4 linked regions of the Saccharomyces cerevisiae S288C genome follow. The protein of the gene in region 3 interacts with the protein of the main gene of each other region in a biochemical or structural test. Each region holds a gene or a part of one and is shown on either strand. Other genes may lie near its edges. The genes, in order: PTP3, FAR1, FUS3 and PTP1.

Region 1 (8,906 bases), on a different chromosome or scaffold from region 3:
CAAGGTTGTTCAATTGATTGGCGCCGTACAGACATTACTGAGGAGTATGTTATGTTGATGGAGAACGGTTAAAGTTACATTTCATCAGTTTTTTCCCGTTCTTTTTCACCTTTTGTGAGAAAATTTTACTAACGTTTCGTATATTATTCTTGTAGTACCATTAATTGGAATAAATATACTGGTGATTGTTTATGAATTACTATTGGGATGAACTAAGCGTACGAAGCAAATATTACATACTACTATATACAAGAAACAGGCTCTAATAGTTTTTTTTTCCCTTCACCTTTTCGGTTTTAGCTTTATTATAAAAGATATGAACAAAACCTCCAAGGGTAGTGGTAGCATGGTATGTGAAATTAGAGAGTTCATGCATAACTTGAAATGAAAATAATACTCTGTTACGTAGCTAACTACTGCCAAATATGTATCGAAAATATCAATTATTAAGGGGTTTCGTATTAATAAAATAGAGATCAAATACATTCATATTAGCCTAACTATTGTGGCAATTCTTTCAACTTATCATCCACGAATGTCTGCAAGATCTCTAATTTTTCGATTTGTTCAATTAATGCACTTAATGATATATTGTCCTTGTTACTTCCATCACCATCCGTTCTCTCTGTTATGTCATCAAGACGTAATCTAAAGTAAAATAGCAAGCAGTCATAAATGAAAATAAATTGATTAATGTTCTGGACCATGGATATTCGTTGCTTTCTAAAAATATTAATTGTCCATGAAATTGGATCGAATAACTTTGCCGGGTATTTTAATTTAACAAACTCTTTCTGCAACATTTCAAACATTTCGAAATTGGATAGAATGGAATCAATGGTACACAAAGTACCAGTCCTTCCACAACCTGCGGAACAATGAACCAAAATGGTAGGAAGTTGGTCGTTTTGATAGTAATTTCTGGCAAATAGTGTATCTATTATGTGATTCTTGACATTGATTGCTTGTAAGATTGAGATAGGATTGAGTAAAGTGCCCAAATCAGGCCAATTTTTCACCTGAATCTGTAACAATTCATAAGGTTTCTCTTGATCATGATATGTTAGCAGAATTTTTCTTATGAGAATTGCGTCATCATCATCATCATCATCATCATCACAAGCAGCAGCAGTAACAGCAATATTACTATTGTTATTGTTATTATTATTGTTGTCATTATCATTATCATTATCAGTACTATAGTTACTACTATTTCCCTGAACACCAGCTGAATATAAACTACTATTTTGTGTTCCCATAGTATTTTTCCTCATGCTAGTAGTGCTAGGCATCTTTAATATTTTTTTTTCTAACAATTTAACGTGAATACCGTTATAATTACCTTCTTGCCAATATCGATAACATTTCTCAATGCCATTTTCGAAATCATTTGTCAATGAGAGAACCAACGGAACGCCATTATTCAATATGCATGTATAAAAGTCATGTACAGTGGAGGGCATTGGAGCTTGCGTCGCTATATAGCGCACTCTTCTTGTTGTGGTTGTAGTTGTTTGAAATGACGAATTTTGCTCTACAGAAAACCTTGGCAGAGACAAATAGTTTGCGTTGATATAATTGTCGAGGATGCCACCATCGGAAGTAGAATGTGAATGCTTGATACCTTTTGATGATTGCAAACCTTTTTTTAGAATCACTCTCGAATGCTCGTAGGGAAAAATATCCTTGTACCTGTTCTTGGCTCCTAATTCAACGCCTGATGATATTATAACGTCATCTGACTCCGAATCGGAATCTGATTCAAGGCTGAGCATCGATTTATATTTACTGTATTGAGTGAAGATTGGCTGAGAATGCGACCTCTTTTGTACTTTGTTCACGTCAGGAAATTTTGGAGGCATGATTGTTGAAGAAGAAGTTGATGTTAACTGTTCAGGATATGATGATGGCTTTTCAAGTATAAACGAGTTTTCCTTCTTCCTGAAAGAGACAGAATGGTTCAAGCGCCTTTTTTCCAAAAAATCTAATTTTTGAAACTGAGAAACCAACTCGATCTTGGGTATTGACATCAGATGCTGGAACCATTCAGGTATAACGGAGTCAATGACCTCCTTTTCGTAATTTTTGCTCAGGTTTTCGTATCTGATCTGAAACCCTAGTTTGTCTTTATTAGTGTCCTTTTCTAGAGAATTTTGGTTCTTTGGGAATTGGAAGTTTTGTAAAGATTTTTTGGCAGAATCGTTATTATACCATCTTTCATGTTCTTCTTTGATGTTGACTGCACTCAAATACGTCTCTAAACCCATTATTTCTTCATTTTGCGAAAATTTGAACATTTGGTTTATGTTTGTTTGTGGTGCAGGCAGCTGGAACTTAAATAAGGCAGATATGGGGGAAGAAGAAGACATGGGAGAATCTGATAGGACGTTACGCGGAGAGGGAGAACTGGAAAAGTTTGAATGATCTGACCTACTATCGTCAGGAACTTTCAACTTAAGGTTCATTTGCGGAGACGATAGTGGTGTTGTCGCCGTCATATGCGGCGCTGTGTTGTGTAGACTGTTCATAAGGTTTGTCTTGGGGCTTTTAGGTTCAGCCGAACTAATGCAATCTGAGTTAAATGTGTTGGTGTTTATATGGTCTGGAAATAGAATTTTGAATTGAGGAAAACCACACATTAGTATAGACACGGTTTTTTTAACATTAGTATCAAACTCTATTAGCTTGGACGCTATTCCATAACAAGGTAAAGAAACAGAACTTTCCGTTTGATTTGCGGTGCTATCATAAATGATAATCCGAAGGTTATCGATGGCCAGTTTAGATTTCAACACGCTTTGCTCGCTAGGAGTTAAGTTGTCCAAGAGTTTGGAAAAGGTGAAATTTTTCCTCCTCAGCAGCGTGGAAGGCAAACATACATGAATGGAGTTTGTGATAATGGATTTGGCATGTTCGGTAAACGGCCTAACATCAAGTAAGAGCACCTTTTCATCTGGTAAGGTTTCAATAATCTTGCCCAGTTCTACAGCAGTAATTAGCGAACAACCCTGCGGCTTATTATATCGCTGTTCCTTGGGCTTGAAGCTTGGCAGGACAGGAGCGGTCGCCCTCTTCAATAACACCGGCGAAGATGTCTTATAGCTCACCAAAGGGCTACTGGCTTTGGGGCTGTGGTATATGTTGCTGTTCATGCTGTTATGATAACTGTTCATAGGAGCATGCCTCGAATATACATGCGAACTCGATCCGACCAAAGTGCTAGTCTCGGAAAGCACTGAAGTGCGGTCGGTGGGTAGAATGCTTGGGCAGTCTACACTGTCCTTCATGTTCTATATGATAAGTAGATCTGTGTTGCTGATGGAGAAGGGAGATACAATACGGATTTTCTATGAACTTTGCAGTGATAAGAGCACCTACGCTATTATAACACCGATGTTAGAATAATATGCAAGTTTGTGGTCTGTGTATACAGTTCTTTGTTTGTGCTTGAAGTGATGATGTTACATGTCAAAGAAAGAAAACCGCTAAGGTCAATGAAAATATAGTGTTACATCCGCCGGTGCAAATGGCGAGGAGAAGATTGGACTCTTGCGCATCGAACACTACCTATCTGCATCCATCCATGCCAGGTGCGCAAACTGTTGGGTCTGGCTAACACCACATTCTCGCTGCGCTGTGTTCTCCGATGACGTTTTGCCGCAAAATATTTTTTTCATGAAGGTCTTTTCTTTTCGTTCAGCGTCAGCGGGCCCAAATCTCAAAGTCGCCGCCATTCTGTTTAATGTTTAAAGTTTCCGCTCACTACACCAAGATGGCAGCAGGAGATGCCAGAAAAAGCGTGGGGTCTGGTCTGGTTAGATATTAGAAGTACATACACATCGGTGGGTGTGTAGCAGTGGCGACACATAAAATGGCCATAATGGGGGTGATTTTACGTATAGCATACATAGACATCTGTCGTTGAGGTTCGCTACCAGTGAACGGATTTAACGAGCAAGCAGCGAAAGTAGCCGAAAACCTCTTATTGTTAATAGTCATTTAGCAGCCGTTCTGCTGCTGTTTTCCTGTGGGGTGAGGTGGGCTGTGATTCGGTAAACTCGCTTGCGGTCTAACAAAAACAGAGAAAAACTTGGTACAAAAAGATTTCATTGGACGCAACCGGAATCGAACCGATGACCTCTTCCTTGCAAGGGAAGCGCGCTACCAACTGCGCCATGTGCCCAGAATTTCTGTATGTGTTGGATCTCAACACGGGGTACCTCCGTATAAGCAATTTTAACCCGTAGATGATTTTAGAGTTTCGTTCCTACACGCATGAAAAAGGTAAGATTGAGTATGCCTAAGATGAACCAATCAAAGTTATAAATACCTGAAGAAATGAGTTTAGATCTGTTGGATGGTGAAACATAAAAAACAGAATGAGGAATAATCGTAATATTTTTATGTAGAAATATCAAGTCCATTGTAAGGATTCTAATATCCTCGAGGAGAACTTCTAGTATATTCTGTATACATAATATTATTGCCTTTATCAACAACGGAATCCCAACAATCATCTCAAAGTTCACCAAAAGTCTCAAGATCCGACTTAAATCTTATATAATATGTAGAATTGCCTGCAAAAGTGTACGATTTTACAATAAAAAACGTCGAATTAGCTTTTCGCATACGTCTCAACCAAGAGGAGAGCGGTAAAAATTATGGGAAACTCAATCGTTAACCTTGCGCCTGATCAAAACAATCATTAATAGCCATATTATTTTTATCAACTTCTGGACAGTCAATACTCCAGGGATAATAATGGGACCAAGCATCATTGGCAACTACTCTCAGCTCGGCACGCCAAGAATCACCGTGGCTATAGGTAACACAAAACGCTGTCTTGCCGTGATTGTGCATACTGGATACTGAAACACGAACTGCACATGTTAAATTTCCTTCAGAGGCTGTAATATCACAGCTACTGTTTGTTGACCACGTCTTGACAAACAAACTCCAACCCTCTTGCCCATCAAAAAAGATATTCGTGAACTCCTGGCTGCCGCAAAACTTCTTGTCACCGCTCCCGTGAACGGCCCATGCTACCCATTGCGCTATGTAGCTGTTCAAATTAGTCGTAAGAGTTGTGGAAGAGACGGCCCTATTGTACAACCTAGACCAAGTTCTTACCTCCACTCCGTAAAACTTGGCTCTACAGAGGGTAGATTCACCTGTTTCCTGGTTGCGGTTGTATTGCAGGTCTGCTGGTGTTTCCACAGAACCATCGACGGCTACATTAATGGCATTACTGATACTTATTGCCGTGACGTCATTTTGAAGTTGCTCGACGAGACTATGCTGAGTGAAGTTGGCTGCTTGGGTAGTTATATTACTGATAATGTTAGGGTATTCAGTAGCATCACGCTTGTTGAAGGACTCAGGTACAGTACCATTTGCAGTTAATCCTATCGTCTGGTAAAATTCAACCATAGAAACTGGAGCGATTGCCAAATCATCGTCCATTTGCCAGAATCCTGATGGCAAGCCCTGGCTTTCACCGCCCGTCAGGTAGATCTCAGCACGTGTGCATGCGCATAACAATAAGATCGCATAAAAAAATGAGACGGTATAGTATCCTGAGGTCATTTTTCTCCCTTGGATTGATTGCTTGCTTTTGTATCTTTCTTATAATAGTTCTTTCAGAAGAGCCCAATATGCGGTTATTATATAAGTTAAGTTACGGCTATGTGAAGATTTTGAATAATGTAAAACTGTTAGAAAGCATTGCCTCTTGTATAAGATGTGGTCGCATTACTTCAGTTAATGACTTGAACCAGTTTGTTTTTCAATCCACGGCTGTATTCTTCACTAATAAAACCGATTAGCGGGAGTCAGGGAAATAGAAAGAATATTTGCAAATGGAGCACCATTTTAGAATTAATTTTTTTTCAGTGCTCACAGGTTGATGATAATGACAAAATATTTTGTTCTTTAGAATTATTTACATATTGTTTAGAGATGAACGATTATTCACACTTATTACTATATTGGTTTAAAATGGTTAACAGTTTGCTCGAGATATCAACACAATCTAGTCTTACATAAAACTTTCTTTTTTGTCCCTGGAAATCTGGCGCAAACCCTTTTTCATAGGATTGACTTAAAATAGTTGAAGAGCGATTTCTCTTGCAAAAAAAGGTGCTAACCCTTCTTACTTTGGTTTATTTTCGTGTTGGAACAAGTAGTACAAAAATATACAGGCGAGTTGATATAATAACATTATGTGCGTTCTCATCGTATACTTAGGCACATCTCTTATACGCTTATATATAATTGCAACAGTAACAGAATAATGAAACTGTTAAAAGCAATATGTAGACAATGACGCAATTGAGTTACAGATCCAATATATACGTGGAAAATATGAGTTGTTACACTGAACATGTTATATTTACCTGACATACCACTATATTGTACTGATGATACTTAAGACGTGCCAATTGCGCGTGTTATATGAACCTCTCCTTCATAGTATAGGAAGATGTACTTTCATTCTTAATTAACACCACCTTTGAATAATTTATCATCAGTAACTTTCAATTAACAAAAAAAATAGGAAAAAAATTTGAAAAAACCTCAAAACTATGTACATATTGAAAGGAGTAAATAATCAATTTTTACTTAAAACTTGTCATAGCTGGTTTCAAGTATCAGCTCGGCCAAGTCCTCCATGATGCGCTCTTCACTGGTACTTGTATTTTCGCTATCACCCTTCCTTCTTGAGTTGCCTTCAATGTCCGCTAAATCTTCCAGTAATATTTGCTTCAGCCTCAAAAGGTGCCTTCTGGCAAGAAACTTCTTTCTTTCCGTGCCTTTTAAACTGGCTATTTCCTCACTGTCCAGTGACGGAAGCTTGATTCTCTCGGTTAAAACCTTGACTAAACGAATTCCCTCCAACGTAACAAACCGCTTGTCTTCTATGCTCGCTTTAAATTCCTTCCCGAACTCACCATTCAATAAAGATTTCAAGTATTCATCTAGTATACTTTTCAGTTCCACTGTAGACACTTTATCATTCATGTTCAGATTTTTAACGATAGGAAACAGGAACTTCCATGAATTAAACCTGTAAACTTTGCCGTTCAACTTTGATGAGTATGTGGCCTCTACGCTATCTATAAACCCCCGAATCTTGTGCAAAGTAGCTTCAGCATTTGATGCATCTTTGTTTATAACGGCCTTGAGACTTTGTCTTTGGAATGCGTTGTACACCAAAATTAACGTCCTCCTGGTTATTGAGATTTGTGCCGACGAGGCTACCCGTTCATAAATGTCCAGACACTCGTCGCCGCAAGTGATGGGCCTCGTTGTTATGACAGTTTCCATGTATTTGTGGTATATGCTCTGATCTAACATTTGGTTGTTCTGTGCCTCTAATGTCTTAAATATTTCCATAGCAAGATCATATTCCTTGTTTTTCAAACAGTAATTCATAAACAATCCCACAACATGTTTGTTGAGAGGAAATGGCTTATTGATGTTCCAATGACTTAGTGGAACTAACGTAGGAAAATCGCTTTGTGTCAAATACTTCTTGAAAATGGTCTTATCAAATTGAAAATATTCACAGAGGGCCCATAGTCCCATTCCTTGCTTCTCAATCTTTGGTGACTTCTGGCTACATATTACTTCACAGTACTCAAATAACAATTTAGAATCGACACAATAGTCTGGTATTTTATTCATCAAATCATTGAGTACCACCATAAAACGTTTCTCATCGGCAATCCTGGTACAAGATCTTATCATTAAGGTATATGTAATACTATCCTTTTTCAAACCTGGGCACTTTTTATTAAGAAGTTTGAACACTAGTGTTTCATCGGTACAATTTATCAGTGCCGCCAAAGCGGTATTATATTCTATTTCCGTGAGCTCATTTTTGTCACACAAACTATCTATAGTCTTCAAAACAAGTTCTCCGTATTTTTTTGAGACCAAATTTTCTTGTTTTGAGAGCCCATTAAAGAGGATTGTGATGGAATGTTGATCAATAGGGACTCCCCATTTTTTTCGCCAATTGAAGATATCTACAGCACTTTGTTGGGACTGCACAACTTCGATATAATATTTCATAATCAAATTCATCCCAACGACGCCTTTCTTTTTAGCTAGCCTAGCCAAAAAGACAGCTTTTTCCAGTTGTCCTCTTTTCAAAAATTTTTGAACATCATTGGCGATTAATTTGGAATCACGTAACTGTTCTCCATTGACGCCTAGTATGGTATAAAAGAGTCTCTTATCTTTGGTTAAGGATAGGAACTTCAAGTCGCTTTGGCTAGTTGGCCCCAGTTTTGTATCTGCTAATGCCTCATTATTTATTTTATGAAATTTTCGAAGAATATGAAAAGCTTGATCCTTGGGGTATGCTGTCTTTTGCAGTTTTTTCAATTGTCTTCTTTTCTTAGAATTTATCCTTTCCAATTGTTTGGATGTTTTATTTAATATGAAACCGTGACGTTCTAGCTCATGTAGTCTTTCTTTTACTTGAGTTTTCTGTAGATTTGTCAGTGAATGAAAAGATCTTCTCAGCAGATGCTCTGTGAGATTAATTGCAGTGTTTATTCGGGGTAGCATTCTAGTAAATATACAAGTGTCTACACCTATTCTTGAAGACTGCGATGACTTTGAGGATGATTGATTCAGATCCTTGGTTCTCAGCTGTCCTTTTGTAATTTTTAGACCCATCTTTATTTTGCCGTAACTAAAAATAAAAACTAAAGAGCAGTGCCCAAGAAGAAGAGGAAAAAAACAAAAAGAAAGCTGAAGAAAAGTATCTCAAGATATTTTCAGTAAATTTTTTTTTTTTTGAATTTTCCGTTTAATATTAAAAGACCTTAAATCGATAAGTTATGTATCTGTATATACAGGGTGTACTCAATTTAGCAATAACATTACAGTGGTGC
Region 2 (5,500 bases), on a different chromosome or scaffold from region 3:
CGGCAGCGTAGATGGCGCCGGCTTGTGGTGGTGGACCGTCAAATTGGAATTGTCTGTTAGCAACAATAGAACCAATTCTACCCTTGGCATCAGTCAAAACACCGTCCTTCAAGGTCAATTCTAAGGTACCAGAATTCTTACATGAGCTATCTTTCAAAGATGGAGTGGCACAAGAAGATGATGTGGCATTAGTAGATGTTTTAGATGCAGAGGAAGAGATCTTTTCGGAGCTGGTTGGGGTAGCGGTAGTAGTAGCTTGGGCTTGACTATCGGTGGCTTGAGCAGTAGCAGCAGAAGTGGCTTGGACTTGACCGTCACCAATTTGAGAGATAACGTCTCTCTTAGCTTTTGAAGAGGTAATAGCTTGAACAGCAATACCAAAGGTGGTAGTGTATTCGGCAGCACCACAAGAGATGGAGCCGGTTGGGGTTAAGGTGGACCATGGTTCACCTGGAGTGTAACCTTCAGCAGAAGCAGTGGCGGATAGAGCAGCAACGGAGGCAGCTAGGGCGACGTTTTTGAATTGCATTTTAGATGTAAGTTTAGCGAGTGAAATAGTTTTATGTGTCTTGATTTACAATTACTACTGCCAAAAAGAGAAGGTTAAGATAGACCCACCACAAGATAGATTGGCTCTCTTTCCCGAATACTTATATACTGACTGTTTGGAGATGAAACCTTCGAGAATTTTTCACCCACTGTCAACCTATTTCTTATTTTTGTTTTTGTTTGTGGACGTTTAGCTTAAATCGGCGCGAATTTTTTTGGCGCAGTACACGCTGACCCGTTTCTTTTGGGCGACCGTGTCTCGACCGTAGCAAAAGGGGAAAAAGAAAAGCTGGAAGGGCTAGGCGGGATCTGGCCCGTGGAAATCGTATGGAATGCATAGGCGGCCCGGCCAGGCACCACGGAAAAAAGCTGATTGTCCTCTTTTACGAGCCGTGGATTTGCAGGAAGAAGCAACGCACGCATGGAAAACACGTGACCTGAAAGTCACCGGAACAAATTAGCCACATCGACGTTTCTTTTACTATACAGCTCGAACAAGCTAACTTGAAATGCTACAACCATGTTGGTATAATTGTGTACAGACACGTGCATTTTTGGTACGAAGAGGGTTACCCGGCTGCGAGTTTTTTTCATTATGAACTAATTCAGGGAAATAATCCCGTTCGGGAAATAGATAAACAACGCCAAACGAAAAAAAATATATAGTGCATATATGACGAGATTTAATTATCGCCAATAGGTTCTTTCTTAGGCAAAATTAAAGTTTACTCAATTTCTATTTATACATTAACTGCTATTTACGACGCATTATATATATTCAGTCATTGCGTAGTATAGACGTGGAGAAACGAAAAAAAAAAAAGGAAAAGCAAAAGCCTCGAAATACGGGCCTCGATTCCCGAACTACTAGAGGTTGGGAACTTCCAGGGTCTGATGAATTCTTTGCTGCTTTACCAGGTCAAAATATTCTATTTCTATCAAACTAGAATGCGGGTGTTCATCCATAATTAGACGCGTTTTTTGTTCACCCGCAGCCATATCCCCCAAATATACTTGCTCGAATGTAGCTTGTGGTAGACGAAGAGTTACATCTAGATAACGCTTAGTGTGCAGCTCCTCTAAAAACTGCTTAATGCTAGCGTTCAATGGAGTCATGCGGCGTTGCGAAATTTCGTATCTCCAATGGTAAGATAACTGGTCAAAGGCCTTTTTTAATTTCTGATCATGCTCAATGTCAACAACGTCACTCCCGTTGAGGACCAAGATTTGCTTGGCGTATCCAGTTGCAATATGGTCATCTGTATCCACGTATGCACTTGTTGACGCTAATCTTTCACAAGTTTGTAATGTTACCTTATACTGTTGCTTTTCATCGCGGAAGACGTTTGGATTAACCACTTCTAAATTATCCAAGAAAGTTGTCCATCCGTCCCAATTTTTATTTATCATTCCGATGAAGGTGCCAAATGGGCCTACTACACCGGATCCATCTCTTCCAACAACAACTATTCCCAGTAAATCGTCTGTGTTTAATCCATCCAATATTTGATGAACACTCTTTAGAACTCTCTTGCGATACAGTTCCCCATCAGCATGCGACAAATTCAAACATACAATAAGTTTTAGCGGCGTATCACTGTGCAATCTTTTCCACGGTAGACGAGAATCATGGGATTGTGCTGATATAACATCAGGCGGCGCTCCTAAAGCGCCTATTATATTCACATGAGAGAGTTCCTTCACTGTAGAAACAATCTCACTTAATGGTAGTGTCTCCAGTGAAGAATTTTCTAGACAATACTTCCATTTGGGAAGCAACCACTTTTCGCAGTTTTCGTTGAACCTCAAGTATATTTCAGGTATATTAGTGCTCTTCAAACTACAAAGTAGTACGTCCTCATTGAACTTGATTACCTGGTAAAACTGGTCTCTAGGAATCTTACCCAGGATCTTCATTTCTTCAAAATCAAACAAAACTAGAAATTTGGAGAATAATATTACAAGGTTATTGTCTACCCATTGTTCGCCATCATCAGAATACATTAGTTTGTCAAACAAGATCAAACTGCCAAATTCGCTATCCTTATCCACATTTGTTTCGATATATTGATCAATTTTCTTTTTCCATTCCTTTTCCCTTTCCTCTAGTTCTTCGTGGTCCACATGATTCACATCTTGCAAGACCCCTAAATCATCACTGGTCCGCATTTCTTGAAACTTCACACTGACCATAACATGTTCACCACCCGTTTTACTAAACCACACTTCAGCAGCACTTTCGTCTATTTCATCATCACAGTCCAGTTTTTCATCATCACTTAAATCAAAAGGGTCTGTAGTTGCCATTTTATTAACGAATGGTGAATTTAAAAATGGGCTATCAAGATAGCTAACGGCCTCAAATTGATTGCTATTCGATAAGCGTGGTGTCCTGAACCCATCACATGAAATATCAGCAGTACGAATGAGCTGCTCCTGTGGTGTAAACTGAGGAAATTCACCTGTGAAGCTTCTCGCCGTTTTCAAATCAATCCATTGCTGTTGCATATTGGATGACGGACCATCATCATGAGCGCCTGCGCCCGTTAGAAGTTTGGATACCATTTCAGGAACAATGTCTTTATCCTTTGGCTTGCTCACTTCGCCACATATCTTACACTCAGGAAACTTGCCTTGGAAATAAAGAGTTTCAAATAGCATCAAATAACAGTTATAGTGGCTAGTGTGTGAACACGTAGACTCCACAACCTTTTCACCGGTAAATGTGGAACTAATACTTTCCTCACAGATTAAACATTTCTCACCTATGTACCTTTTTGGACTGAATTGTGAATTGCATTTTTTTATGTTTCTTTCCAGGCTGATCATGAAAGTTGGTGAATCTTCTTCGTAATATGAATCGCCGTCAATGCGATAATCTTCATCCATAACCGTTAAATTGATGTCTGACAAAGTATCACACATAGTTGTAGAATCAGAAATCGACTCTCGGAGTAAACTAGTAGTTAAATTTGTAGCTTTGATGTTGTATTTGTTGCTACTTGTGATATTTACTGGCGATTGTAAAGCGCTAAGTTGTCCTGTTTTCGAAAAACCAGATGCTACTGATCCCGCTGTTTTCTTCAAACTTGGTGGGGGAGATATAGGCTTGGAAAGATTCAGTGGTTTAGGAATATTGCCTCTTTTGGACATCATTAGGCCAAGATTTGGAGTAAATTGACTCTCTTCAATATACCCAAATGTGGGCATCTGTTGCTTCTTAAATTCTGGTGTCTTTCTAAAAACTTTACCCGATAAACCTCTTAGAAATTTCTTCGGTGGTGATCTTTCAGCGTCACGATCTCCACTTGGTGGAGTGTGTATTTTTTTTTCAAACGAAACTCTTGTTGGTGTCTTCATTAATAGATTGCCTTCTTACGCCCACGAAGCTTTCCAGTGGATCTATAGACTTTGTGTAAAGGATGGTCAAGAAATATAAAAGTAAATAGAAATTTTTTGAATAGATAAGATAATATACACTCTCAAGACAGAGTGAACAAAAAGGATAGTTTTATTTTCTTTTAATAATTTGAATATATTATATACTGTGAACCAAGGTACCTTCGCATTTGAAACCTTTACGATGTCATTTTATTGCCTATTTCCTTTTTAGGTATTTTCGGTGAAATGGCTGCATGTTGAAAATTGCATCGCTGAAAAAAAAAGATATGCAAACAAAAGAAAGTTGCATTCTGAAACGACCGGGTCTCTCTTGCCCGCCTAACAAAACCAAAGAGGTAAATGAAAGTAAACAGATATTTTTCCTTACTTGGAAAAATAAAGCAACAATGAAGGTGAGTTTTATAGTCGCTCCTACAGTGATGCAAGTGCAATGTCTTTTTTTTTTCATCCTGTAATGGGTTAAATAACTTCAAAAAGGCAAATCATCCATCTAGTTGTGGATCAATGTCCCATTGAATTTTAGTTACAGCATGTAGTCTCTCCAGGATATCACCTATAGGTGTGAACAAACCAAACTGCCTCTGTTCACCATCGTATGAATGCAACATACCAACAAGCCCCAAACCTAGACGATCTTCTAACTTGGTCAAGATCCATGCGCCTGAATCCCCCGCACTAGCAAATAAAGGAGTTGGAGATGCAACGACAAACTCGCTACTTTGTAACTTTCCGTCGGCCCAATAAACTAATTTTGTAGAATTTAACTCGCCTGAAGTGTATCCCGTAGAAGCCCCTATTTTAAATACTTTCATCCCAGGCTTCATTTTAAAAATTTTTCGTTTCACATGTAAATTTTGAAATCTTAATGTTGGATCTGGGAATGATTTTAAGCCATTACCTAGGGTATTCTGACATTTGAATGATGAATTAACTTTGATAATAGCAAAATCTGATAATCTGTGATCTACGATTGCTCTCTCGCCCCAAACTACTTGACCAAATTTGTTTGATTTCTGCCAGTTCAAGTTTTGATCTATTCTTTGCACTTCCTCCAAAAATGCTGTTTTCTCCACCGAACCATCAGGATACCTATCTGATTCTTTCGTTAAAACTTTCTTGTAAGAAGTCTGTAAAACATTAGAAGGTACCATGACGTTTGGATAATCTTGCTTCTCAGATAATACAACGTGGGCGCAAGTAATGGCAAATGAGCAGCTTGCAAATTGAGAAAATTTTTTATCACTACCAGTCTGAGGGAATAGATAACCCCCTAAAGTACCTGTAATTTTAGCGCTTGTCTCAGTGGATAAAGACATAGAAATTGGCAATTCAAGTGGATTCTCTGAAACTGCATATGGGGGGGAAAACTGAAATTTAGTTGGGGCTATTGTATCGATAGTTGCTGCGGTATGAGACGGAATACTGCCTACTGCTGATGCAGCTTTTTTAATGTAATCTTTCACACAATACATGTGTACATCTGGGAACAACGAATAAAGAACCTTTATCATTTCATAGTGTTCATGTTGCAAGTTGGGTAAGCCAAACA
Region 3 (7,376 bases):
TATAAATATGCAAGAAAAAACAACGCATTGGATAAAAGCTTTATAAACATAAAATCATAATCATATCATTTCCTTTCTTTTTTTTGTTAAATACTCATCTCTCGGTTTGCGCACAAACACTAGTCAACTGGTTCCCAGCTGTCGACCTTCATTGTACCCTTTTCAGCTAAGTTGGTGTGGAACTTGAAAGCATTCTTTAGCATGTGTGGTTCATGCAAGCAATTGTGCTTTTTAGCGTAATGCTCTGCTCTGTCCAAGTAATCGGTCAACAAAGCTTGATAATCGGGATGAGCACACTTGTTGATGATTTCACGGGCTCTTTCCTTAGGCGATAGACCTCTTAGATCCGCCAAACCTTGGTCAGTGACCAAGATGTCCAGGTCATGCTCAGTTTGATCTACATGAGAGGCCATAGGAACAATGGTAGAGATACCGGTAGGGTCTACTTTAGTTGGTCTTGCAGAGGGGGCATGCATGATGGACAACTTTGCATTTCTCAAGAAATCAGCAGATCCACCCAACCCGTTCAACATACGGGAACCATTCACATTTGTAGAATTGGCGTGCGCGTAAATGTCAACTTCTACTGGGGTATTCATGGCGATGACACCCAATCTACGGATCATTTCCGGATTGTTCGAGACAACTTGAGATCTCAAACACAATCTGTGTTTGAAATTTTCCCAGTTTGCAAAGGCTCTGTCGAAACCCTTTTCAGTCAATCTCACGGAAGTAGCAGTGGCGTAGTCCAAAGATCCGTTCTCGAAAAGATCCAAGAACGAGTCCTGCAGCACTTCCGTCCATACAGTCAAGTGCTTGAATTGGGCGCCAGCAAGCCCTTCAATGACAGCGTTAGCAATGTTACCTATACCACTTTGTAAAGGCAGCAGGTTTTCAGGTAGCCTACCATGTTTTACCTCGTTTCTGAAAAACTCGACCAAATGACCTGCAATAGCCCTGGACATGTCGTCAGAGGGCGTATTTGGTGGGACCTGGTCCCTCATGGTGGACTCCACAATCGCAACAACCTTTTCAGGATCAACCGGGATGGAGTCAACACCACACTTGTCGTCCACTTTCAGATATGGGTATGGTTTCCTGAAAGGTGGGTTCACGGGCATGTCTATATCGTGAATACCCTCGAACGAAGGCGTAGCCGTGTTAACCTCAATAATCACTTTATCACTGACTGTAATGAATTCTGGAGAACCACCGACAGAGGGACCTGGGACGATAGACCCGTCCTCTTTAATGGCCGTTGCCTCGATTATAGTATAATCAAGGATTTTGTTGTCTTTTCTTTCCCTGGTGTAGAACCCGTATGTCAGATCCTGAGGGAACATGGACAGATGTTTATCAAAGAACTCAATTCTACCCTGGTTAATTGCCTTTGCAATGGGTTTCCCTACTTGATGAGGGGCTCTCTTAATGATCATGTCGTGTTCAGCCCAACGGTTTTCCTCTGGACCAGCAGAAGCTCCAACAAAAAGGTTGAATCTCAACTTCCCTTGTAAATTGTTCTTCTCCACGTGATCTATCAGTGCCTCCGGCACTGCCTTGGGAGTACCCACTCCTGTAAAACCGGACCACCCAAGGTACTGACCATTCTTGAACAATGGAATAAGCTCGTGAGCTTCCTTAACTTTTTTCAGATAGGGAGCATACCTAACTCTCTGCTTTAACAAATTAGAAATTGTCATTTTAGTGCAATATGTGAAAAAGAAAAAAAGAAATGTGTTGTTTGTTTTGCCGCTATTGTCTAGTAAGACGGTCTCTTGCTGCTTTGTGTGCTAATGTAAGCCCGGTGGGCACAAGACAAAAGAAGGGGTAGAACACATCTAACGTCTATATATACACAGCAACTTGATTACACATTTGCTCCAGCAAGCGCTTACCGTCCACAATACAGTGGTCATCCATACAATCACTACTTTGGTAGTTTGACGCTCCGATGGGATTGGCTGTTGCGGATGTGGTTGAGGGCGTTGTCCTCGAGGCCAATCAGCAGCGCGCATTGCCCGCCTTTGGCCCGGCGGGCCGCGCGTCGCAGGGGATGATGCTAGTCACCTATATGGATCACCCCTTGTGGTTCTTCATTTTTTTTTTCTTCAATTAACAGCCGCCGACGGCCCGTGGCGCGCGATCACGGAGTTGCGTAACTGCTCCCCTTAGCTCCATATAAGTATTGTCCTTTTATACGTCCGCGTCCTCAGCGGCTAATACGTATGTCATATGTACATATGTATATGTGTACGTATATGTATATGTATACATTGTTCTTCGGGTTGATATTTTAATGATAATGATGGCTAACTAAATATTTCGTTCCAAATGAGTTTCTTGAGGTCTTTCGTCGTTAGTGCCTCCTTGTAGTGATCAAACTCGAAGAAGCTGGGTGGGATGGGTTCGCCTTCAGGTTCGTCGTTTGGATCGTGGTATGTTTGCAAATACGGATGCTCCAGTGCCTCCTTAGCAGTAATCCTCTTCGCAGGGTCAAAAACAAGCATACGCTGTAAAAGATCTATGCCTTTCGGGTTGACTCGAGGGAACATCTTCTCCAGTGGCGCGGCAGGGTACATGGGAAGCGACTTTATGTACTCTCTAGCCCTGGGTGACTCTATACACCGCAAATCATTATCTGAGTGAGGTGTACCGATGATACCGAATATCAGTAGTAGTTGATGGCGATAATCTCTGCCAGGGAAGATTGGCCGTCTTAAGAAAAGTTCAGCGAGAATACATCCGCAGGACCACACGTCCATGGCCCTTGAGTATTTGGCAGAGGTTAACATCACCTCTGGCGCCCTGTACCAACGTGTGGCCACATACTCGGTCATGCCGCTTTGCTGACCTGTGGGCTCTGAATTGTCCGCGGCTGACTCGTCAATGATTCTTGCTAAACCGAAATCACATACTTTCAAGTCACAGTTGGAGTTTATGAGAAGGTTGGAGGGCTTTAAATCACGATGGATGACGTTCGAACCATGCAGCACTTTCACTGCTCTCAAGGTTTGGTATATAAAATATTGTATATGATCGTCACTCAGCATCTGGGTGGAGATTACACGGTGTAAATCTGTCTGCATTAGCTCTTGAATTATGTAGACCTCATTGAAGTTTTCGAACGAGTCAGGGCGTTGAATGTTGAAGATTGTTATGATATTTTCGTGCTTGAAGTGCTTCAGGATCTTTATTTCACGCAGCGTACGTAATGCGAACAAAGGCTTATCGAATGGTTCGATCTTTTTTATTGCCACGATTTCTCCCGTGGGCTTATGCGTTGCAGAACATACCACACCGTATGCACCCTCTCCCAGTAACGACTTCAACTGGAAGTCACTGGATATATTGTATACAATTCTCTTTGGCATATTATTTTCCTTTCTTTTTCTCTGCCTTATTTCCTTGTAGTTCAAACGAACTAGCTATTAGAAGAAAGAAAATGATTACAACGTATATATAGTTTCTGAGAGGCAAGAGTAAAAAGTTATGATATATTAGTATGTTGCTTTTCTGCAATTGTTTCAATGCCCTGTAAAAAACCGCATCATCTAAAATCTGAGAGAATGCAGAAACAAAAAAAAAAAAAGTAAAAATTTCGAGTAAAAGAATTTTGAGTTCCAGGGTGAAACAGATCTAAAACTCAAGAGCTTATGCATTGCTTGTAGGTACATCACATTTTACTTCAGAAAGATAAAAGAGTATGTGAAAGTAAACTGCCCTCTCCAGTTAACTCTTCCCAAACTAAAAAGTATCCGCCTGTGCGGACTACAAGCACTACCGCCCCTTGAATGAACACCAAAAGATGTGTGTAAGTTAAAAAGTCCGAACGAATTTATCCTTATGTATGTTCTTTTGAACGTCAAGTAGTCAATCTCTCCAACTACTCGGGTCTTTATATGGATCGCGTGATGTTTTAAGCCTTCTTTCCTCTAGTTTAGTGCAGTCGCTGCTTTTTTCTCGGGCTGAGTACGGCGAAAAGAAGGAAAAACCAAGGTCAAAAAATAACCTCTAAATAACAGCATGATGCAACAGCTCAAAAGACCTCTCAAGAAGCACAAAAAAAGGAGGCGAGTAGGTGGTACTATTTCATTCTACTAAGATCTTTAAAGCAATTCCTTTCCGGTTTTTTTCTCAACTACCGTACTCTTTTTCCTTTTTTATTTTGCCCTTAGATTGTATTATAAAGCTCTGTATATCTGGAAAAGCCCTGAAGTGTCCAGTAGTCATCACACGTTATGATATTACTTCATTTTGTCTATTCTCTTTGGGCCTTACTTCTCATTCCTTTAACTAATGCCGAAGAATTCACCCCCAAAGTGACAAAGACTATCGCGCAAGATTCATTTGATATATTAAGCTTTGATGATTCCAACACTTTAATTAGAAAACAAGACACCTCCGTTACTATAAGCTTTGACGATGGTGAAACATGGGAAAAAGTTGAAGGCATTGAAGGCGAAATCACTTGGATATACATCGACCCCTTCAATAGACATGACAGAGCCGTTGCAACGGCAATGAATGGGTCGTACCTTTATATAACCAATGATCAAGGTAAGTCATGGGAGCGTATAACGCTACCTGACTCCGGAGAAAGTATTTCACCTCGTGAATGCTATATAGAAACCCATCCCTTGAATAAGAACTATTTTCTTGCAAAGTGCAACTATTGTGAGAAAACAGAAGTAAACAATGACAATGAAGAGAATTCGGGGGACGAAGAGGGACAATTTGAAATATTTAATATTACACGTTGCACAGACAAGGTTTTTGCAAGTAATGATGGTGGAAAATCCTTTTCTGAGATCAAGTCTTCTCTAGAAAGGAACGAAAATAGTCCTATCAGCATTTCTGATTGTGGCTTTGCCAAGACCAGCAAAGATTCTGACCTTGAAAGTAGTGATACCTCAATAATCTGTCTTTTTCAAAATATGCAGCTTATTATGGATGAGTTTAGTTCTCCTTACACCGAAAGTAAATTGGTCCTAACTACGGACTGGGGCAAATCACTAAAAGAATTTGACCAATTTAAAGATAAGGTCGTCAATGGTTACAGGATATTGAAATCTCACATGGTTGTCTTAACCCAGGGCGACAGATATAATGATATGTCTTCCATGGATGTGTGGGTATCAAATGATCTGTCAAACTTTAAAATGGCTTACATGCCTACTCAGTTAAGGCATTCTATGCAAGGAGAAATATATGAGGACGCTATGGGAAGAATTATCTTGCCCATGAGTAGGGAAAGAAGTGATCAAGAGGAGGATAAGGGCATCGTGTCTGAAATTTTAATTTCCGACTCACAAGGGTTAAAATTTTCCCCCATCCCATGGACCGCAAATGAGGTGTTTGGTTATATTAATTTTTATCAACCTACTTACTTGAAAGGAACGATGATTGCCTCACTTTACCCTCTATCTAGGCGTCGTAACCGTAAAGGAAAAGCCAAAGGAGTAAAGAGTAAGGGGGTAACCAAAATATCTGTTGATAATGGCCTCACATGGACAATGTTAAAAGTTGTTGATCCAGATAACGCAGACTCATTCGACTGTGATATTACTGATTTTGAGAATTGTTCGCTTCAAAATATGTTTTACACACGGGAGGGTTCCACTCCAACCGCCGGAATTCTAATGACAACAGGTATTGTTGGCGATGGTAGTGTCTTCGACTGGGGAGATCAAAGAACCTTTATTTCTAGGGATGGTGGCTTAACATGGAAACTCGCCTTTGATTTTCCTTGTTTATACGCTGTTGGTGATTACGGAAATGTTATTGTGGCTATACCGTATAATGCGGATGAAGACGACGATCCTCAATCCGAATTTTATTACTCTTTAGACCAAGGTAAAACTTGGACCGAATATCAGCTAGAAACTACTATCTACCCAAATGAAGTAATGAATACAACGCCCGACGGATCTGGAGCTAAATTTATTCTAAATGGGTTTACTTTGGCGCATATGGATGGTACAACGAATTTCATCTATGCAATTGATTTTTCAACAGCCTTTAATGATAAGACATGCGAAGAAAATGATTTCGAGGATTGGAATTTAGCTGAGGGGAAGTGTGTCAATGGAGTCAAGTACAAGATCAGAAGAAGAAAACAGGACGCTCAGTGCTTGGTGAAGAAAGTTTTTGAAGACTTACAATTATTTGAGACTGCTTGTGACAAGTGTACCGAGGCTGATTACGAATGCGCGTTTGAATTTGTTAGGGACGCGACCGGGAAATGCGTACCAGACTACAACCTAATCGTTCTCTCTGACGTATGTGATAAGACAAAGAAAAAAACTGTGCCTGTAAAACCATTGCAACTAGTTAAAGGTGATAAATGTAAAAAACCAATGACAGTCAAATCAGTGGATATTTCGTGTGAGGGAGTTCCAAAGAAGGGAACGAATGATAAAGAAATAGTGGTTACAGAAAACAAATTTGATTTCAAGATTCAATTCTATCAATACTTTGACACAGTCACCGACGAATCCCTCCTCATGATCAATTCAAGAGGAGAAGCTTATATATCTCATGATGGTGGACAAACAATAAAAAGGTTCGACAGTAATGGTGAAACAATTATTGAAGTTGTGTTTAATCCATACTACAATTCTTCAGCTTATCTGTTTGGTTCCAAAGGTAGCATTTTCTCTACCCATGATAGGGGATACTCTTTTATGACTGCTAAATTGCCCGAGGCTAGGCAGTTAGGTATGCCATTAGACTTTAACGCTAAGGCACAGGATACATTTATCTATTATGGTGGTAAGAATTGTGAGTCAATCTTAAGTCCGGAATGTCATGCGGTAGCATACCTGACCAATGATGGGGGCGAAACGTTTACGGAAATGCTTGATAATGCAATTCATTGTGAGTTTGCGGGCTCACTTTTCAAATATCCGTCAAATGAGGATATGGTTATGTGTCAAGTGAAGGAAAAGTCTTCGCAGACAAGAAGCTTAGTTTCTTCTACTGATTTTTTCCAGGATGATAAAAATACCGTCTTTGAAAATATTATCGGCTACTTATCCACTGGTGGCTATATCATCGTTGCTGTTCCTCATGAGAACAACGAATTGAGAGCATACGTAACTATCGATGGTACTGAGTTTGCCGAGGCAAAATTCCCATATGATGAAGATGTTGGGAAGCAAGAGGCATTCACTATATTAGAGTCTGAGAAAGGATCGATATTCTTACATTTAGCAACAAACTTAGTACCAGGACGCGATTTTGGCAATCTTTTGAAATCCAACTCAAATGGTACTTCTTTTGTCACGTTGGAGCATGCCGTTAATAGAAACACATTCGGCTATGTTGACTTTGAAAAAATTCAAGGTCTCGAAGGCATTATTCTCACCAACATCGTT
Region 4 (5,133 bases), on a different chromosome or scaffold from region 3:
GGAGTGAAAGCAACGAAAGATGGGGTGACTCTGTTACCTTGTTCGTTGGCAATAATTTCAACGGAGGATTCGTAAGTAGCAACACAAGAGTAGGTTGTACCTAAATCGATACCGATAGCACCTTGGAAAACACCTTCAGCCATTTTGTTCAATTAAAATACTGTAATGATCTTGGGACATCTGAAAATCCAAAAGCAAGAAACATTTTTTAAAGAAGGAAAAGCAAAGCGACAATAACTAATTAATCTTTATATAAAAAGAGATGAGTACTACAAAAGAAACGTCGAGCGAAGATGAAAAATTTTTCTTTTTTTTTTTTTCAGTTGCGTGCTATAAAAAAAAAAAAAAAAAGATTCATCCATACTTCCCGTTCGAAATGATCATAAATAACTGCGGTGTATGGGCTATGTTCCCATGACAACGAAGCTAGAATATAATTATAAGGATGAATAAGTATTGTTATTGAAAAAATGCACAATTAGGAACTTTTATATAGCTGTCTATTGGTTCACGGAAAGACTGTTAAGATACTTGGCAGCATGGTAGATAAATAGGAACTGATCCTTTGTCTGAACCATTTTCATTCTTTGCGAGCGCAACTGTAACACGATCTGTTCGATCAAGTCCCGTGTGTACTCCTCTGTAGCCCTGTCTGAATGCCTTGACCGTTCTGTAATATTTTTAAAATCCAAGGTATCATGCATGAGATGATCTAGGGCAATGAACGTCCCCGTTCTGCCCACGCCTGCGGAACAGTGTACGATAATGGGGTTCCCGCGGGAATTCAAGCTGTGGGAGTGAGCGCATAATTCCATTATGGGTACTACTTCCTCTGGCTTGTTCATATCTTTCCAAAGGTCGAAGTAAAAGTGGTGAACAGTTTTGACAGGTCCTACAAGAGGGTCCGTGGGTGTGAGTTTGATATCGGTGACCGTATAATAGTCCTTCACCTTATGTACGTTAACAAACTCTATTTTCAAATCAGAGGGAAATTGAGTCATATCATTGGCGCCGCCCGGACTTTCCCATTTTGATGCTATTCTAACCGTATCGTCTACACCACCGCGAGGCCAGTACTGGTAGCACTTCTCCCTATTGTATTCTACCAGAGGCGTGACCATCACAATGACAATATTGTCTAAAGGACAATTGTGATAGCACATTTGCCAAAACTGATCCCAAGTTTTACGCGTGGGACCTTGAGTAGCAATATAGTAGCCCGGTTCGATGCTCTGCCCTGGCACGTTCACTTTGACATACGAGGCATTAATGTAATCATTCCCGGATAGAGTCTTCAAATGAACGCGGTTCCTCTCATACGGCATAATGTTAACGTATCTGTTTCTAGCATCGTTACGAGGTTCTATGCTGACCCCCAACGACCATCGTGAATTCACCGTTCCGTTTGTAGCTTCCCTTAATCTGCCGTCTTCTTGATTCTGTATGAACTTGAATTTACCCAATAAATCCGTGTCACGCTGTCTAATATACCATGGTGCAGCTGCCATCTCCACTGTCGCAAACTACTACTAACAAACGCTTTTCTTGATAACTCCTCGATGAACCCTTTTCCTCAATAAAATGTAAATATAGTTTGCCTTCCTCTTAATAGTGTGTACAAATGAATTTTTCTAATACTAAACGCCCTAAAAATGACCTAATTAAATATTACGTTAACCTAAAAAAGTACAAAGAAAAAAATGGAACACCTACAAATTATAAACAATAACCCTGTCGCCCAAAGTTAGGTTTCCGATAAGACTTTTCAGTGAACAAAATCTGGAAATGAAAGGCGATATAACATTATCAAAGATGATTATGTATAGATTGCGTGAAATACGCGCAGGAAAACGAGTTTAAGCGTCACTAACACTTTAATCAATTTAAAGTTCATTTTTAACTTGCTTTGTGCTCCACTAAGGAAAGCATGTACAGTATAGTGCTGGAATTGTAACAGGTCCTCATGAAAAGATATGAGCGAGATCGAAGTCCCACTCCTGATCCTGATATTGTGAAAGGTTCATACTCTCAAACATCACTCAGGTCACTACATGAACTTAACTATAAGAATCCTGCCGGTATAAGCGGGCTTAGCTTTGCAGGAAGCCCACAACAATCCGTGGCATCCTTATCGCAAATGCGGCTGGAAAATTTGGTTAAGGACAAACACTGGGAGGAAGTAGAGGACTTTGGGCTGGAAGAGCTGAGAGATGGGTTTTTTGATGCTGCTTTTACCAAGCCGGACAGCAAAGCTAGGTCTCCTAACAGCGACATCGATGACGACAATGGCGCTGCAAGGAAAAAACTGCAATCTGGTTTTACCAAGCTTTCCGAATATGTTTGGACTGCTATCTACAGGCCCATTATTCATTTCCCTAGAGATATTAGAAAAAATGGGGTATCCATATTCAAGTTTTTTATTGCTTATTTCATTGCTATCGTGATTTGCGTTATCAGGCCTTCTGGTAGGTGGATTGGCCATGAGTTCAGGTATTTTCTACCCATCGCAGTACTTATACATCATCCGGTCAGAAATATTGGTGTTCAACTGGAAATGACTATAAGCTCCATTATCGGCGCAAGTTTTGGCCTGGGATGGTCGGCTTTGGCATGGTACATTTCCACAGCGACAAAGCCGACCGCAAACTACCAGGGAGGAATTTTATTTCAGAGTCTGACTATGGCCCTCTTATTTGCCATCTGGCTAAGGTCTGTTTACCGTCGGTTCTTCTATTTCACAACTTCGTTTTCGATATCGATTATATTCACTCATACAGTTCGGTTGGCCTCATCCAAGTTTGATTTGAAGTGGCAAATTTTTTGGGATTTTGGAATCTCATATCTCTTCGGCCTTTTGCTATCTCTCTTGGTTTGTGTATGTGTATCACCACATAGTGGCAATGCAGAGTTAATGGAACATTATAACAAGTGTCTACAGACCACAAAGACCTTTTTAATGGCACTAGTAGATACTGAATTAATAAAGTCCAAAGAACAAATTTACCTAGCCCAAGTAAAAATGGTGAAAACACTAAACATTGATTTATCTCAAGGTTTTAGAGATTTTGTAAATCAGTTGACAATTTCCAGGTTTGACCTTCAATCGTTGAAGAGTTTAAGAAATTCTTTAACTGCCATGGAAACTTCTCTGAGAGTATTACCCATTGCACCCAAAATTTTTAATGATGATGAATTGAAAAAGATGTATGAAGAATTGGAGAAGTATAGATCGGATTCTGCGACCCTGAGCAAAGAAGCAAGCGCTAGCCCTCAATCTTCAGGAATTCCAACAAGAGAAAACACGCCCAGTGCCTTTAAGCCTATCGGTCCGGGGCTTTTAAAAAATGAAATCTACATTAATGCATTAAAGGCGTCCTTCTCGAAAAGCATCTTCAACTTAATACTGGAAATGATCTTCGTTTTGGAAAATCTATCAAGAGTACTAAAGAAATACGAGTCTCCAAATCAAAAAAACAACTTAGATGAGTGTGTCAAAATATTAAGTCACTCGCATTCTAAATTAAAGAGGAAAATTTACAAACTAGATGTTTGTTACAGGGATTTTGTGAATTCTAGTTTTTTTTCACAGGAACTGTTGAATGACGAAGAGTCTGTCGATATTTTCCTTTTTCTAAGATATTTGAGAAACTCCGCAAGGCAGCTAGTTACTGTTATCCACGATTGCCAAGTTTTGGGTGAGAATATTCACTGGAGAATTGCTCTGCCATCATATCCACTGTCTCGTGCGTTGACAAGATTGCCCAAACAATGTGTTCTCGATGAAGGTGCAGGAAATGTTCTTCATTATTTTGAGGCCAAACGTGATGTCGATGAAATTTTTGAAAGAGTTTATAACACCTACACGTCAAGACACAAGTATAACAAAGGCGAAGAAGAAGCGCTGAGACTTGATTCACAAGGTGGTGACGAAAAGTCACAGAATCGCAAAAACCACACTATTTCCATCAGAGCAATTGATCACAACGACTTCAATTTTCATACAACTCAAAATCCTTGGAGATTTAAACTATGGAAATTGAGTAGAATTTTATCTGGTGATGAATGTAAGTGGACACTAAAGATTACTTTTTGTATGATATTTTTGTGTCTACCAACTTGGCTACCTGAATCCTATCACTGGTACCAAGAATTTCATTGTTGGTGGGCCCCACTCACGTTTTACTTATTAGCACATAGAAGATACTCTGGTAACTGGGCGTTGGTAATGAGGAGATTAATCTGTGGTATAGTAGGTATCTTTTGGGGGTGGGCTGCCAACCAATCGAGACATTTTGGTAGTCCATACGTGGTTTGCACGTTTGCTGGTCTGATCGTGGTCCCATTTAGCATCAACTTTCTTGTCTATAGAAACACCAAATCGAGCTTCACTGCATTAATGTGCTTTACCATAATTGCTCTTGAACCATACAGCAAACCTAATAGACATTATAACTTAACCACCGCTGGAATATGGAAATCTACGTGGGTTACAGGCTTGGCACTTATTATCGGTATTTTGGTTTCGATTCCCATCAACTGGATAGTGTGGCCCTTTAGAGCTAGGACAGAACTAAGAGATAGTATGTCATCATTACTGGCACACTTGGGCCAGTCCTACCAAACCGTGGCGGACCGGTATTTATACAGGGATGCCGACGACGCACCTACTGATTTAACTTTCGCATTTTCCCACATTCGTGAAGTTAGACTGACTCAAAGTCTTGAAGCAATCAGGGAACTTTTGAAGAAAGCCCGTCATGAGCCAATCATTATTTCCAACTTCAATCCTGAGAAGTACGCAAGTCTAATCAATTCATGCCAATTTTTGTTATCTAAGATCATTGAAGCGAGAATTTCAGGTGCATTTTTTGAAATTTGGGATCAGGATTTTGATATTGAAACCACGAGAGCCTTACTATCGCTACGAAGAGATAGTGTCTCATCAGTGATTTTCGTTTTTTACATTTTATCCAATTGTTTCAGATCAAAAAACAAGATACCGCGATACTTGCCAAATCCAATTATGTCACGTAAAAAACTTTACCACTTCATCAAGAAATTTAGTGAAATGAAGGACCAATCACATTCGAATTTAAATTCAGGAGGCAATTCTATGGAGAAGAACCTATTCAA

What was found.
Region 1: of the proteins of FUS3 (region 3) and PTP3, one has a biochemical effect on the other in vitro, tested with the Saccharomyces cerevisiae proteins (2 studies listed by BioGRID, with this or other methods).
Region 2: of the proteins of FUS3 (region 3) and FAR1, one has a biochemical effect on the other in vitro, tested with the Saccharomyces cerevisiae proteins (4 studies listed by BioGRID, with this or other methods).
Region 4: the proteins of FUS3 (region 3) and PTP1 form a complex in vitro, tested with the Saccharomyces cerevisiae proteins (one study listed by BioGRID).

The regions. Positions count from the first base shown.
Region 1 is NC_001137.3:307,913-316,818, forward strand, and holds PTP3 (tyrosine protein phosphatase PTP3), read right to left. Parts: upstream 3,288-8,906; coding exon 501-3,287; downstream 1-500. Other genes in the region: YOS1 (Yos1p), read left to right, coding at 1-44, 156-211; YER076C (uncharacterized protein), read right to left, coding at 4,678-5,586; MRX1 (Mrx1p), read right to left, coding at 6,622-8,688; ICP55 (aminopeptidase), read right to left, coding at 8,895-8,906. UniProt on the Saccharomyces cerevisiae protein: Major phosphatase responsible for tyrosine dephosphorylation of MAP kinases FUS3 and HOG1 to inactivate their activity; it also has important roles, along with MSG5, in the inactivation of FUS3 following pheromone stimulation.
Region 2 is NC_001142.9:122,420-127,919, forward strand, and holds FAR1 (cyclin-dependent protein serine/threonine kinase inhibiting protein FAR1), read right to left. Parts: upstream 3,910-5,500; coding exon 1,417-3,909; downstream 1-1,416. Other genes in the region: CIS3 (Cis3p), read right to left, coding at 1-529; SSY5 (Ssy5p), read right to left, coding at 4,434-5,500. UniProt on the Saccharomyces cerevisiae protein: Inhibitor of the cyclin-dependent kinase CDC28. Necessary for cell cycle arrest. Involved in pheromone response. Contributes to mating efficiency. Required for oriented polarization of yeast cells in response to mating pheromones.
Region 3 is NC_001134.8:188,446-195,821, reverse strand, and holds FUS3 (mitogen-activated serine/threonine-protein kinase FUS3), read right to left. Parts: upstream 3,372-7,376; coding exon 2,310-3,371; downstream 1-2,309. Other genes in the region: ACH1 (acetyl-CoA hydrolase), read right to left, coding at 120-1,700; PEP1 (type I sorting receptor), read left to right, coding at 4,239-7,376. UniProt on the Saccharomyces cerevisiae protein: Together with closely related KSS1, FUS3 is the final kinase in the signal transduction cascade regulating activation/repression of the mating and filamentation pathways, induced by pheromone and nitrogen/carbon limitation, respectively.
Region 4 is NC_001136.10:39,075-44,207, reverse strand, and holds PTP1 (tyrosine protein phosphatase PTP1), read right to left. Parts: upstream 1,509-5,133; coding exon 501-1,508; downstream 1-500. Other genes in the region: Hsp70 family ATPase SSB1, read right to left, coding at 1-143; BRE4 (Bre4p), read left to right, coding at 1,964-5,133. UniProt on the Saccharomyces cerevisiae protein: Is not required for vegetative growth.